Linked DNA regions of Anolis sagrei. The protein of the gene in region 2 interacts with the protein of the main gene of each other region in a pairwise test. Links are inferred from orthologs where the notes say so. Each region holds a gene or a part of one and is shown on either strand. Other genes may lie near its edges.

What was found. The genes of interacting proteins can lie anywhere in the genome.
Region 1: the proteins of CYTH4 (region 2) and FOS interact in a two-hybrid assay, tested with the Homo sapiens proteins (2 studies listed by BioGRID and IntAct). The two-hybrid records come from large-scale screens. The link is inferred for Anolis sagrei from reciprocal best matches to the Homo sapiens genes CYTH4 and FOS.

The regions. Positions count from the first base shown.
Region 1 is NC_090021.1:305,111,112-305,118,832, reverse strand, and holds the start of FOS (protein c-Fos), read right to left. Parts: upstream 3,548-7,721; 5' UTR 3,218-3,547; coding exon 3,077-3,217; intron 1,653-3,076; coding exon 1,410-1,652; intron 1,078-1,409; coding exon 970-1,077; intron 1-969. UniProt on the Homo sapiens protein: Nuclear phosphoprotein which forms a tight but non-covalently linked complex with the JUN/AP-1 transcription factor. In the heterodimer, FOS and JUN/AP-1 basic regions each seems to interact with symmetrical DNA half sites.
Region 2 is NC_090025.1:165,885,111-165,893,552, reverse strand, and holds the start of CYTH4 (cytohesin-4), read left to right. Parts: upstream 1-4,794; 5' UTR 4,795-4,935; coding exon 4,936-4,957; intron 4,958-8,442. UniProt on the Homo sapiens protein: Promotes guanine-nucleotide exchange on ARF1 and ARF5. Promotes the activation of ARF factors through replacement of GDP with GTP.

The DNA of each region.
Region 1 (7,721 bases), on a different chromosome or scaffold from region 2:
GTAAAATATGATAAAATTAAAAATAAAATAAAATACAAAACAATATAAATGTATAGCCATGTTCCAGAAGCATTCTCTCTTGGCGTTTTGCCTGCATCTATGGCAGGCATCCTCAGAGGTTGTGAAGTCTGTTGGAAACTAGGAAAATTGAGTTTATGTCTCTGTGTAAGATCCAGGGTGGGAGAAAGAACTCTTGTCTGTTAGAGCTAAGTGTAAATGTTTCAATTGGCCACCTTGATTTGATGACCTGACAGTTTTTAGGTGTTGCTTGTTACTGCCTAGGGGAATTCTTTGTTATATGGTTCTGAGGATGCTTGCCACAGGTGCAGGTGAAACGTCAGGAAAGAATGCTTCTAGACAGGGGTCCTCAAACTTTTTAAACAGAGGGCCAGGTCACAGTCCCTCAAACTATTGGAGGGCCAGATTATAATTTGAGAAAAACATAATTTGAATTCCTATGCACACTGCACACATCTTAGTTGTAGTGCAAAAAACACTGAAAAACAATACAATAATTAAAATGATGAATAATTTTTAAAAATATAAACTTATTAGTATTTCAATGGGAAGTGTGGGCCTGCTTTTGGCTGATGAGATAGGATTGTTGTTGTTATTGTGTGCTTTCAAGTCATTTCAGACTTAGGTTGACCCTGAGCGAGGGCTGGGTAAATGACCTTGGAGGACCTTATCCGACCCTCAGGCCTTACTTTGAGGACCCCTGTTGTAGAACATGGCCATACAGCCCGAAAAACCTACAACAACCCATCTGGATGACCATGAAAAGGCCTAGAGCAGGCATGGGCAAACTTTGGTCCTCTGGGTATGTTTTGGACTTCAACTCCAGGCTGTTAGGAATGGTGGGAGTTGGAGTCCAAAACACACCCGAAGGGCCGAAGTTTGCCCATGCCTGGAGAGAGACAGAGAGAACCTCTGGAGGACTGGGGAAAGGCCTAGAGAAGAAAGACTCACCGATTGCAAGGTGTCGGTCAGCTCGCGTCTTCGGTTGCGGCACTTAGCGGCTGCCATCTTGTTCCTCTCACGGCGAATTCGCCGCTTCTCTTCCTCTTCTGGCGTCAGCTGCAAAAAGAGGGAAAACAGAGCTGTTAATCTCCAGAAAGAAAGAGATATAGCTCAACTCTACTTCATATTTGACTCCTAGGGCAGTGGGAGTGCATCTACAGCAGGTATGGGCCAACTTGGGTCCTCCAGGGGCTTTGGACTCCAACTCCCACCATTCCTAACAGCCTCAGGAGGCCCTTTCCTTTTCCTTAGCGGCTGAGGGGGAAAAGGAAAGGGCCTGAGGCTGTTAGGAATGGTGGGAGTTGGAGTCCAAAGCCCCTGGAGGACCCAGGTTGGCTCAAACCTGCTTAGCAGCTCCTCCTGCAGGCGTGCTGTCTCTCTGGACCTACCTGCTCGACTTTGCCTCTGCGCCCAATGCTGGTCCCTCTGCTGGCTGCCTTGACTAGTCCTGCCCTGGCAAAGGCTCCCGTCTGCGGGGCGGGCAGGCCGTAAGGGTGGCTGCGGTTCTGGGAAGGAGCCACCGAGGAGATGAGCGTAGGCTGGACCATCCATTGCAAGTCCGGGCTGGTGGAGATGGCCGTCACCGTGGGCACGAAGCCCGCGCTGGAACCCGAAAGGTCGGCGCAGAAGTCCTAAGGGAGGAGGCAAAGCAAAAAGGTCAGAGTCTCCAGAAACGCTATTTGGAGCCGCGAGGCCACCGTCGCCCGCCATCGTCAGGCTCCGCACGAGCGAACGGGGCTCAGGCTATAAATATCTCTGACGTCCGCGCTGACGCAAGCGCCGCTCCGGAGTCTCCTGAATGGAGCCGCGTTTTTATCAATGGAGCCGCTTTTTACGCGCGCGCCGAGAGCGCCCCCGCCCCTTCCCCATTCATCTTTTTTTTTTCTTTCGCGTGTCAGCAGGGGGAGAAAAAAAGAGAAAACGCCAATCACCCGCGCCCCTGCCTCTATATAACCCCATACTGAGTGGTGCCTTCCTCTGAACAAAGGGAAATATGTAGGGCGATACGGGAGATGATAATAATCATATTACTACCAATAATAAATGTCATTTGTTATTATTCCCCCCCCTTAAGACTCGTCTATACCTTCAGTAAGATTATACATTTAATTCTATGGCCAATGATGCCTTTTCTGAACAAAGGAATTGGGAATATATAGGGCACGATTATTATTTTGTATTATATTATAATATATTAATATAATATTATCATATATAACATAATGAAATAATATAAATATTATTATATCATATTGGTATATTATTATGATTATATATGTAGTATTATATATAATATAATGATATAATATAGATAATATAAATATTATATTGTATTGTTATATTATTATATAATATATGTATATATTATATAATTATATTATATTGTTATATTATATTATTATTTTATTAATACTATATTATTATTCTATCCCCTTCTAAAGGACACTCAAACGACAAGAAAGGAGCATACATCCAGTAAGTCAATATTATAATAGATTATAAGTCAATATTATATTATAATATATTATTTTATTATTATTATCCTAACCCCTTCTAAAGGAGACTCAAAGCGAAAGACAGGACCATACATCCAGTAATATTATATTATTATATTACATTATTATGTATTATATTATCCCCTTCTAAAGGAGGCTCAAAGCGAAAGACAGGACCATACATCCAGTAAGATTATATTATATTATTATTATTATTATTCTATCTCCTTCTAAAGGGGCTTCAAAGCAAAAGACAGGACCATGCATCCAGTAAGATTATATTATGATATTACATTATTATATTATATTATTATTCTATCCCCTTCTAAAGGAGACTCAAAGCAACAAGACAGGAGCATACATCCAATAAGACAATAATATTAATAGTCATAATAATATTTAATGTTCCATAAGGCTATATATCCATCAAGCATCCAATAAGGAAACATCAGCTCTTTGGAGTCCGAGCGAGGAAGGGAGAAGGGACCCACTTCGCCTGCCTTTCAAGGCGCCCCATCCAACCCCAGAAAATCTCTTCCCCGCGTCCTTCTCTCGCTCACCTGCCCGTTGACAGGCGATCCCATGCTGGAGAAAGAGTCTGCCGGAGACGGGTAGTAGGTGAGGCTGTCCCCCGCCGGAGAAGCGCTGCTGCAGCGGGAGGAAGCGGCGTCGTAGTCGGCGGCGAAGCCCTGGTACATCATCTCGGGGATTGACACAAACCCTTCCGTGTCCTTTCGGGGCGGTTCAATTCTCCCGAAAGAAGCGCCTCTCGGAGTGGCAAAGCCCGTCGTCGTCGTCTGCTGTGTCTGCTCCCCTCACTGCTTAGTTCTGCTTCTGGAGTAAAAAGAGCGGCACCTCCGCCTTTTATCCTCTTGCGGTGGGACTTCTGAATGAACGGACGTCACGACTGGAAGGTTCCACCTCGGCGGGGGGAGGCGGCGAGAGAGGGGCGGCGGAGGGACGCCCCGAAATGGGTTACTAAAGCGTGCTCGTGGCTCTCCTCGGCGACAAACCCTGACGGCGGCGTCGGGATGATTGCCTGAAGCGTCCTCCGCGGCGGGCCGCTTTTAAGAGCCGGGCGCCGCGTCAGGCTCCGCCCCCGCTCCCGAAATGGTTCGGCCCAGGCTCGGGAACCCACTGACGTAAATATCCTTATATGGCATACATCCTGTCCAAGAGGGGTGTGACTGCCGGGAAGCGCTCCAGGGCTGCGGCCAAAAGGGCTGGTGCGTGCCTGTGGCGACGGCTAGGGGGAGCGAAAGCGGCAAGAGCCGCAGCGACGGGTTCTGCATGCAGATGCTGCCCGCTTTAGTGCTGACCAGACACCCGAGGAGTGGCGCCTTAAAGGGACAGAGCACCAATTGTCCGCCAGAGCAGAGGTGGACGACCTTTGCAGGGTTTGGCCACACACAGGTCGATTTCACCTTAAAGGGTTTTAAAACCATATCCTATATAGGACACAGAATCATAGAATCATAGAATCCTTGAGTTGGAAGAGACCTCATGGGCCATCCAATCCAAGAAGCAGGAAAATTGCTCCCGACCAATAATAGTCTAGCTTGCTGTTGACCTATGCAGCCCGAAAGACAGTTGCATCTGTCAAGTAGGAAATTTAGGTATCGCTTTATGCGTTCTCGTGACTCTCCTCTGTTACAAACCCTGCTGTTGACCTATACAGCCTGAAAGACAGTTGCATCTGTCAAGTAGGAAATTTATGGTATCGCTTTATGCGTGCGCGTGGCTCGCCTCGGTTACAAACCCTGCTGTTGACCTATGCAGCCCAAAAGACAGTTGCATCTGTCAAGTAGGAAATTTAGGTACCGCTTTATGCGGGAAGGCTATTTTAACGCATTTACGATGCCATAAAACCTTCCAGCAGTGTGCAGAAGAATGAGGAAGTACTCCATCAAGGACTCCGTGTCACAAGTGGATGGTGAAGCAGCAGCTCCCCCTGTTGCCGGAATCGAGCATATCCTCATGAAGCCGAAAAAGCTGGAATGTTAAATTGCCTCTGTGTCTGTCTCTATATGTCATATGTCCAAATGGCATTGAATGTTTGCCATGTATATGTGCATTGTAATCTGCCACCTGAGTCCCTGCGGGGTGAGAAGCGCAGAATATAAACACTATAAATAAATAATAAGCAGGAAAATCGCATTCAAAGCACTCCCGACAGATGGTCATCCAGCCTTGTTTTAAAAGCCTCTAAAGAAGGAGCCTTCACCACACTCCAGGCCAGAGAATTCCACTGCTGAACACCTCTCACAGTCAGGAAGTTCTTCCTCATGTTCAGGTCCCCTCGCTCTCCTTCCAAAAGAGAAAATAATTGGATGTCTCTCATACAGCATAGATATTGGGAGTGTGGAGCTATAGAAAGGCTTCCAATGATTACTAACTGCACCAAAACACATTATAGACGAGGCATGGGCAAGCTTGGGCCCTCCCTCTAGGTTTTTTGGACTCCAACTCCCACCATTCCTCACAGTCTCAGGCCCTTTCCTTTCTCCCCACAGCCGCTTAAGCGTTTTGGACTCCAACTCCCACCATTCCTCACAGCCTCGGGCACTTTCCTTTTCCCCCTCAGTCGCTGAGTTGGAGTCCAAAACACCTGGAGGGAGGGCCCAAGTTGCAAGCAACTCCCTTTGCCATGTCTCATATCTGTCTTTGGTATGCTGAGCCAAGGTTCAATATGAGTACATAGCCACACCATTTCCAGTTCGGGTCAGCAATGTCAAGCTTACAGACATTTCCCCCCCTAACATGAGTATTAGTAATTGTGATACCAGATTGAAAATATGAGCAGATGCCTCCATTCATTTATACAGGTCCCATCGCTGCTGCTGTTTTTGTTTTGGCTTTAAATAATCTCCATCTATTTAGATCTCTGTATCATAACCCACTGGTGGTGCAGCGGGTTAAATCACTGAGCTGCTGAACTTGCTGACTGGAAGGTCGGCAGTTCAAATCTAGGGAGTGGGGTGAGCTCCCACTGTTAGGCCCAACTGCTGCCAACCTTCCTGTTTGAAAACATGCAAATATGAGTAGATCAATAGGTACCGCTTCTGCGGGAAAGTAATGGCACTCCATGCACTCAGATAAACCAGTTCAAAGCAGATATTGTGGGATCTTCTGCCCTGATATTCTGGGTTATATGGTTGTGTGGAAGGGCCCTGGGGCCTCCAATACAACTCTGTGGTCAGCTTCTGCCAGAAGTTGACTATAAAGTTACACCAGGGGGCCAGGCCCGTAGCCAGGATTTTGATTCGGGGAGGGGGGGGGGCTGAGTCTGAGTGAAAGAGGGTCTACCCTAGCAAACCTTTTGTATTGTTACCCCAATACCCCCATGCATATGGGATATATTGAGCATGGTGATCAGATCATGATACGAATAAACGTAACAGTTTAAATAATGTACCAGAAAAGCCTTTTCGCAGACCACCATGAGAATTTGGGGGGGGGGGGGCTGAAGCCCCCCAAGCCCCCCCCCCCCCCCCCCCCGGCTACATGCCTGCTAGGGGCCCATCCACACAGCCATACAACCCAGAATATCAAGTCAGATATTCCACAATATGTGCTTTGAACTGAATTATCTGAATCCACATTGTTATATAATCCAGTTAATTGTGAATTTTATACTGCTGTATGGAAGGGGCCTAGGATTTGAACCACATTGTATGGTCAGTGTAGACCCCCTATAATGCAGTTTGAACTACATTATATACAGTGACAGCATTATATGGCAGTGTAGATCTTGCTGTAACATGGGCCCTTCCACACATCCCTATATCCCAGAATATCAAGGCAGAAAATTCCACAATATCTGAGTGTGGATCCAGGGCCCTTCCACAGAATATCAAGGCAGAAAATTCCACAATATCTGCTTTGAACTGGGTTATCTGTGTCCACACTCAGATAATGTGGGATTTTCTGCCTTGATATTCTGAGATATAGGGCTGTGTGGAAGGGCCCCTATTAAGCAAATTTGTTACTAATAAAAACTGATTAGCAAAGCTGTTTATACTATGGTGTATTGTGTTGTTCTTATTATGTTGGTTTCTCTGGATATCGCAATAGAACAACAGCACAGAAATTAATGGTGAGGATGACTTCTTCAGACGTAGGCAAATATATCTTGGGAAAGGCACCCATAGAGAAGATTTATTTTCTTTTTCATTTGGGACTTTTCATTTGAACCTTTCTAGGACAAAGGTGAGCAATGACACACCTCCCAATGTGGTTGAACTGCAAGTCCCAGTTCGGCACAGCCAGTGGTGAGAAATGCTGGGAGGGGCAGTCTGGGTTAAAATGAAAAGCAGGTCTAATTAAAGGGAATCCCCATCTGACATCGCAGAGGCTGTTCAAGTTCATGCAAAGGGAAAATAAATCACTTAGGCAGAATTACGACACTTGAGTTCATTTCCAGCTGGCTCAGCATTTTACCTGGTATTAATCATGCATTCAGATGCAGGTGAAAGGACGCCAGCAATCTCTCGCATGCCATTTGCTCAAACAGTGATGGTGCAATTCTTAGCTCTGGGGTTTCAGACCCATTTCTGAGGTCACAGGGGACTCCAAAAACCCTGTTTATGTAATACCTATAATTAGGCTGACCGAAAGGTGATTGAGGCTCTCATCTACACTGCCATTAAATGCAGTTTCAGAATGCAGATGAACTGCATTGAACTGGATTATAGGACAGTGTCAACTCATACCATCCAGTTCAATCTGCATTATATGGCAATTTATGGGGCCTGTCAGACTGGATCTACACTGCCAAATATTGTAGTTTGAACTGAATTATGTGGTCAGTGTAGACCAGGCATGGGCAAATTTTGGCCCTCCAGCTGTTTTAGACTTTGGCCCCCATATTATAAAGATAGTCGAAAGGATAGAAATAGTCTCAGCTTCCAATTGCAGACAGTAACATCACATCATGTAGTCCAAGTTTCCAGTATGCCTGAAAACATCACCAAAGCAGCCACTAGTTGGAGAATGTTTGCTGATAAGAAAACAGACTTTTGAGTCACACAGAACACTTTCTTGAATTATAGGAAACCTCTGGAAGCCATCCAGGGTATTGTCTGAGCCGCACCCACACTGCAGAATTAGTGCAGTTTGATACCACTTTCAACTGCCATGGCTCCAGTTCAAGTGGAGTCAAACTGCATTCATTCTACAATTCTACTCCAGCCGGTTTCCAGTATG
Region 2 (8,442 bases):
GGTAAAACATCAAAAAACATCCAGGCATCCCCTGGGCAATGTCCTTGCAGACGGCTAATTCTCTCACACCAGAAGCAACTTGCAGTTTCTCAAGTTGCTCCTGATACAAATAAATAAATAAATCTGCAAAGTGATATCTGGGCAGGTGGTACTATCTTGGCTGTTATCTCAGACAGCAAAATATTTATGTTTAGGCCTGAAACTTGGGACACCAATGAAACTTGGACGTTCCAATATAATTAGGGGTGGAGAAAGTACAGCTTATGGGCTCCATGTAAACCCCATCTCTCAAGTTCCCACAAACTTTATAGATCACCCACATTTTACAGAAGATACACAAACGTCTGGTGTTCTGGCAAACATCCCCCAATCCCCAAAGCTATTTATTTTCCCAGAAATAGCCTGAAAAACAGCAAAAAAAAACAAAACAAAAAAAAAACAACCAAACCAAAAAAAAAAAACCAAACCCACTGGAAATAGAAAAGGGAAGTTACTCATGGTTACTTTCAACATTGCATTTTGGTCAATTATAGCTGAATATGCAGGAAGTTATTTCAGGGGGACAGTGATGGGGGGGGGGGATCACCCTTATTTCACAATCTACAGAAATGTCTTCATATTTGAAAACCAAAGAATATAAAATAAAAAAATCAAATATGTGGAGAAACCAAAATTGACAGGTTCATCTATATATGCTTGGTGCTTGGGAAACATGTCTCTTCAGTTTTAGAAGAACTATTCAAAAAGCCGAATCTCCATAGGGATAGGTGTCAGTACCTTGGAATGCTCCTTTAAATGTGGATTAAAATCTGAAGTACATTCAGTGCCCAACTGACATGGGAATCATCAGTATTTGTTGCAAGTTTCTTCTTATTAACTATTCCATTACAAGCAGTTATGACATCATCCTCTCCATGTTAGAAATACCTGCATCTATTGAATTTGGCCAGAGCAAATGGGGGAGAATTTAGATTTGGTTTATTTTGGAAGAATTTGTCAAAAATTGAGAAAAAAAATCACATTAGGGATTGAAAGAGCCCAAAGTTGTTTAAAAAAACAAACAAACTCTAATGTGAGAAAAAGGGATTCGTGAGGTCTCTTTCACATTACAAAATTATAACACTTTGATGCTACTATAACTGTCATGGGTCAATCATATAGAATTCTGGGATTTGTTGTTTCATGATGCAATTAAAGTTTTCTTTCAGAGAAGTCTAATGCTTCACTAAATTGCAAATCCCAGGACTCCATCTGATGCATAAATGGCAATTAAAGTAGCATAAATGTACTATAAGTTGCAACTTGAGCTCCAGTTGTGCCTGGGGAAGTCAGACTTGGCCAGGTGGTCCATGTTCTTGTTATATCTCGTATAGACTACTGTAACGTGCTCTATGTGGGGTTGCCTTTGAAGACAGCCTGGAAGCTTCAATTAATCCAACAGGTGGCAGCCAGATTCCTTACTGGAGCAGCGTACAGAGAGCATACAACCCATCTGTTGTGTCAGCTCCACTGATTGCCAGTCTGCTACCAGGCCCAATTCAAAGTGCTGGCCTTGGCCTATAAAGCCCTAAATGGTTCTGGTCTAACTTACGTGTATGAACGTATCTCCACTTATGAGTCAACTAGAGCTCTAAGGTCTGCTGGGGAGCCCTGCTCTTGGCCCCACCCCCTTTGCAAGCATGATTGGTGGGAGTGAGAGACAGAACCTTCTCAGTGGTGGCCCCTTGGCTATGGAACTCCCTCCCAGTGACATCCAGTTGGTCCTTAGCACTTCTGGGGTTTTTTTTTCAAAAAAAGCTAAAGACCTGACTATACAGCAGTTTGAAGAATAGGATATTACAGAATTGAACGCAGGATTATGAACAAGGATTATGGATGAATGGAATTATGCACTTTATATGTTTTAATCTCTTTATTAATATATGTTGTTATTTGCTCAAGTGATTTAATTATTGAAGGGGTATGTTTTATCATCAGAAAGATAACTAGCTGTAGGAGGCTGGAAGTGAGCATATAAAAAACCCAGTTTGTCATTTTTTTTTAAAAAAACCCACTAAAATTAAAAATCCACAAATAGATTGATATTCTCTTGCACTGTAGAAAAATTAAGGAGGACATGCATGTTTTCTTTCATGGCTGGAAAAGTAGATGGGAAATGGTTTTTAGCAAATTATGTATTTACAATATCATAAACCTGAGAAAGGATTAAACAACCCTTGCTGGTCCAGTTTTCTGTTTCTGAACCCAGCTTCTGGGGCTCCTTTTCATCTAAAGATGAAAAATCGGTGATACACAACTAGATATCCCATCCACCATGACCGCAGCATTAGGAATGATGAGAAAAATATGTAGATTAGAAGGCATTATGTTTAGACAAGCTCTGGTATCTGCTTTTTTCATGAATGAAGGACTGAGCATGCATTGTTTGACACCACATTAATTGCCTTGGTCCAATACTATGGAGTCATCGGAGTTGCAGTTTTACACAGGCTCTAGCCTTTCCTGCTAAAAGTGCTGATGCCTCGCCAAACTAAAAATTCCAGGAATCCATAGCATTGAATCATAACAGTAAAAGTGGGCTGAAACTGTGAATACACCCTAAGAGAGAGAGATTGAGATTGAGAGAGAATAGCTCTAAAATACTGTATATGTGCACTTCTCAAACTTTACCATGTATATAGGAAGGATGGCAGAGTGTTTCTGTTTCATTTCTCTCATTATCTAATTGTCTAAAACTTTTATTCTTTCAATTCTTCTGAAGAGGAACTTCTAGAATTAATGCAAACTCTTATTTAAAAAGAAACCAAATAAATCCTGAATCATCTTTACTTGCCAAATCTAGTAGACACCTGAAAGGACCATGTATACCTGCCTGCCATGTAGCTATTAAGGTTCAGAAGACTGTTAGAGAAAAAAAGTCAGTTTTAATTTAGGCCTGCAAACAAGGCTGAATGCACAGATACCGAAAACTAGATTTTTAAGAACCAAATATTCAGATGTTAACTGACTAAAATAATTATCCTTTTCTCTATTTTTAAGAAAGCTCAAGCTCTCTCTGCCATGTTTATGAAGAATATTAGAAAGTCCATATAAAAAAAAGCAAATCAAATTCTCATCCATCTAGGGCAGGGGTCCACAAACTTTTTAAACAGAGGGCCAGGTCACAGTCCCTCAAACTGTTGGAGGGCCGGATTATAATTTGAAAAAAAACATTAATGAATTCCTATGCACACTGCACATATCTTATTTGTAGTGCAAAAACCACTTAAAAACAATACAATAATTAAAATGAAGAACAATTTTAACAAATATAAATTTATTAGTATTTAAATGGGAAGTGTGTGCCTACTTTTGGCTGATGAGATAGGATTGTTGTTGTTGTTGTGTGCAACCTAAGTCATTACAGACTTAGGTTGACCCTAAGCGAGGGCCGGGCAAATGACCTTGGAGGGCCGCATTTGGCCCCCGGGCCTTAGTTTGAGGACCCCTGATCTAGGGGCAACTTGTAATTTCCCTCTATCTGTTATGTCTGAAAGATGGTAGATTGGCTATAGCTTTGTTTGTATACTAATCAAGTCAAGAATGTTTCCATTGGGTGTATCCACCAATCCTGCACTGAACAAAGATAAAGTTATGGAGAAGTGGTACAAGAATGCAATGTACCATTGTGTTGCTTCTCTATGGGAGAGACAGACCACAGCCCGCCACAAATTCTGGCACAATTGCATTGTAGGTATTTCTGCAGAGGTTAAAGCAATATCATCTTGGTGTCTTCCTGCTCCATTCTATCTGTTCTCCATGGGCCCTCTTTTTTATTTCCTACTGCACAGCATGAGGTGGTGATCTAAATCCAGGTGGGTTGTGGCTATTCTGTGTCTTCAAGTCATTTCTGACTTATGGTGGCCCTAAAGTGAATGTATCATGAAGGTTTCTGGGACTAAGAGAGTGTGACTCATCCACGATCATCTAATGGATTGTTATTCGTGGGATTGAGCCCTAGTCTCCAAAATCATAGCCGAGTGCTCAAACCATTGCACTCTGCACTCTAGATGCTAGTTCCTACTTAAAGTAGACCCACTGAAGAAATTGACATTGAGTAAATCAGCACATACTTAAGTTGCACTCATGATCCAGTGTGACTTGTCTACTCTAGTTGATGCCATCATTTGGATTTTGATCACAGACTTACTGTGGACAAGAAGCCTGAGGACTCAAACATATTCTGGAATATTTTGGAATATGGCAACCCTAAAAACAATGTTAAAAACAATGCATAGGGACACCTTCTCTTCCATGTTAGGCAAAACTAAAGAATGGCTAAGAGTACTGTAGTCCTCCTGTGACAGTGTGGAGCGGACCCTTTTGCACTACACAAATACAGTGTTCTGATTCCACTTTAACTGAAATCCTGGCATTGGTAGTTTGATGAAGCACTAGGAGTTTCTGGCAGAGAATTCTAAATACTCCTCTCTACATTGCAAATCCTTGAATTCCATGGGGTGAAAACATGACCATTTCATCCTATGGAATCAGGTCATTATAAGTATCTGATTCCATAGGATGAACCTCGTTGGGCTGACTGGTGTGCAGTTCATCAGACCCCCTTTGATGAAAACCACACTGCCATGTAAATAAAAGTCTAAGCAGTAGCAGCAGCAACACTGTGGGTTTTTCAGGAAACAACCTCTGATCATTTGCAGAACTGACATTTCTGTCCAGAGAGCAAATAGTTTCCTCTGTCAATCTGAATGCACAAGGCGGAACCAGGAGGAAAGGGTGGAGTCACCAAGGAGGAGAGTCCTTGGGTTGCTTCATTTCAGGCTGTCATCACGTTGAAACATCATTTTAACTCTGAAGTAGCGTAGATGGAAAGACAAAATGACGCAGCCACTGTACTAAATTCAGGAGTTGGAACTGTCTTCTTGGAAAGGTGTTATGATGGATGCTTGTTCAACTAGTAAGTATTCTCTTAAATTACTAGAGTCTAGATCTTTTTATGGTGTCTTTTTGATGTGTGCCTAAATATCCTGAAGGTATCAGATCTTGTCTGATCTTGAAAGCAGGGTCAGACCTGGTTAATACTTGGATGAGACACTACCAACAAATGCCAAGCACTGTAGACAATATTTCAGCAGAAGGCAATGGCAAATCACCTCTAAGTACTCTTTGCCTAAGAAAACCCTATGAAATTCATGGGATCAGTATAAGTCAATGGGCAATTCAAAGATATATACACTAAAATATGTACTGTCTGTTTAAGGGATCTATCTCATGTGGCATCATCATCAGAAGATCCCGGAGACAAATGTGTCAACTGGGATTATGATCCTGGCTAGGGATTTAAAGCTTCTTGTTTGTGGAATTAATTTATTCATTTTATTTATGAAGATTTTGTTTGGTGTATCTGTATTACAATCTCCCCCAAGTCTTTCTAATTGTCTGCTTGTATTTTAAGTTGTATTTAAGACAGAACTATTTTGAGACCATTTTCAGGTGAAAGGAGTTCTGTATAAATGAAATTGTCATTAATTTTCTTTGGGCCACATGTCTATGCATTTATATTTTGTGCAATAAAAGAAGAACATGATTTTTGTCTTTTTAATGGTTAAGTGGACCAGGAATCCTTTTATACTACTACCTAATTATAGCACTAAGAGTCTACTTCTATTGCTATGGCTGCACCCTGTGGAATGCCGGGGTTTGTAGTTTAATAAAACACTTAGAACTCTCTTGCTGATGATTTTAAATCACCTTCCTTAAACTACAAATCCTAAATTTTCACATGTGGTAACCATGACAATTAAAACATTGGACACAAACATAGTGTGAAAGGAACCCAGAAAAATTCAATTATGTATGATACAAACTACAAACTCCACTAAATAGAGTTCCTTCTTCTACACAAGTGTTGAAGGTGGAGAAGCCTTGTTCTTCATTGACCCCTTGCTACTCATGACTTGGCTCAAGACAAATTTGGGTTCAGAAACAGAAGTTTTCTAGATCTTTTTACATACGTTTTCATATAGCGAATAACAAATGTAATTTCTTGGCCAAAGAGGTGAATGGATGCATGCCAAAGTCTTGGAAATTTATTTATTGTTGTGTGCCTTCAAGTTGTTCCCAACTTTTGTCAACCGTGTCATGGAGTTTTCTGAAGCTAAAGGACCTAATTACACTATAGCATGGATCCACTTTAAACCCAGTTTCTGCCTCCTGCAGAATTCTGGGGCTTGTAGTTTAGGGAGGGGCCTGTAAACTGCTCAGCCAGCCAGGTCCTGGACCTCACAAAACTAAACCTTAGCGGTCTGCAGGAGGCAGAAACTGGATGTAAAGTGGATCCATGCTCTGGTGAGATTAGGTTTGTGTAACTTGCCCAAGACCACCCAGTAAGCTTTCAAGACTGAGAAAGATTCAAACCTTGCTCTTCAGAGTTGTAGTCCAACATTCAAACCATTATGTCATATTGGCTCTCATTCTTAGATGTGTATTATAGAATTGTCCCCCATTTCTGCCAAGCTTAAAGATAAGAGTTTTGTACCTTTAGTTTGGAACAGAGTTTGGCTAAGACTTGGGGATCTTAATAATTGAAACATTGACCTTTTAGTTAGTAGTTCTTAATAGATTCCAAATCATAATGAGACAAACAAACTGTATGCATTTCTTGTTCAGACTCTGTAATCCTTGAATCATTTTTTTTTATCCTGCCCTTCAACGAGATTGAAGATTGGACAGTGTATGTCATTCTTTTTCTCGTTTTGTCTTTGCAACAATCTCTTGAAGTAGGTGAAACTCAAAAGCAGTGAGTGGCCCAAGAAAATCCAGCAACCTTAACAGTGGAGTGAAAATTCATTTGAGACATTTACTTATATCACTAAAGATTTAATCACATTGAGTTTCAAATGGTGATAGTGAGGTGAATCTGGCGTGAGATCCTGTCACCCTGCACCCCAATCACCCCAATAATGTGGCTACCTCCTGCAGAATTCTGGGGGTTGTTGTTTAGAGGAGGGGCCTTTGAAATAGTCAGCTACCACAAGGGAAAGAGTGTCCCACTGACTAAAAAATGCAGAAAAGGGAAGAAGGATGAGGGACTTCTAGTAAGTATGGCTTGTCATGGGGCGGGGGCACGGCAACTGCTGAAATTCCCTCTGGTGAAAGACCATACATTTCCCATCCCAGCTAAAGAGGATGATACCATCACCACCATACTCTCAAATTGTTGTCCTGCCTTTTCAGCTGCTTTTAAAATGACCTAGTTTCCTTCTCATTCTCTTGCTCCCCCCCCCCACCTTTGTCCTCAGCTTACCTCAATTGCTTCAAACTGAGGTCAAAACGTGGAAGTAGTTTGCACTCAATTAACTCAGTGAGGAGAGAGGAAGGAAGAAAGAAGATGATGGGATCTTGTCCTTTTCAGTTGGCTCAGGCAAAAGCAAACTATTACAATCTCTCCAATATTCTGTACTTTCTTCCCAATATAATTTCCTATCTTGAAAATATTCTGATATTGCATAGTCATACATGTCCCAGTTTTTATCTATGAAATATTAGAGAATATGAACCCTTTTCCCAATGCTTTGTTGCCTGATGGTTAAAATGCAAATATGGTACCTGCAGTGTCCCCATTGCTACTTCTTCACTCAACTTTGTTACGGTTGTTTTATGCCTTCAAGTCATTTTTGACTTATGGAGGCCCTAAGGCATCTCTATCACAGGGTTTTCTGAGAGCATGTAACTTGTCTAAAGTCACACAATGCATTTTCATGATTGACTGGAGATTTTTATACTGCTGTCCATAGTTATAGTTCAATGCTTAATGTATAATCTTCTCATTCAGCAGTTCTCAAACTGTGCTCCATGGAGCCCATAGGACTCAATGAAGCACAGTCAGAGGCTCTGCAGGGGCCCCTCGGAGCCCCCTCCCCCCAGCTAGGAAGCATGCTGCTGCGGCCTATGGGGCTTCTCCACTGCCATATTCTGCAGGGTCTCCCCTGCCCCCGGTGGGAAGGCCCTGCAGGCCGTTGCGTTGAGGGTGCTTTTCCTGCATGATAGAAACAGGTTGGGCTGAGTGGCCCCTGGAGTTGCTTCTATTAGCATTATTATTATGATTACTTTTATTATGATTTCAAAGGCAAGATGGTAATCTGTTAAGAATGCTTTGATTTGTGCTTTTACTGCATGGCAGAAACAGGTTGGACAGGATGGCCCCTGGAGTTGATCTTATTATTATTATTATTATTATTATTATTATTATTAACAAGTTATGTGCCATGTGCATATTTTTTGTTCAATTTTTTTTCAATTAGTTCACACAAACATTCCCCATCCATCTGGACTATCCCATCTGTCAAATTTTAAAATGCAATGTGGCCCTTGTGTCAAAAAAGTTTATTGGGGCTCCACGAGAAACCTTTCCTTCAAAAAGGGCTCTCTGGCTTTAAAAGT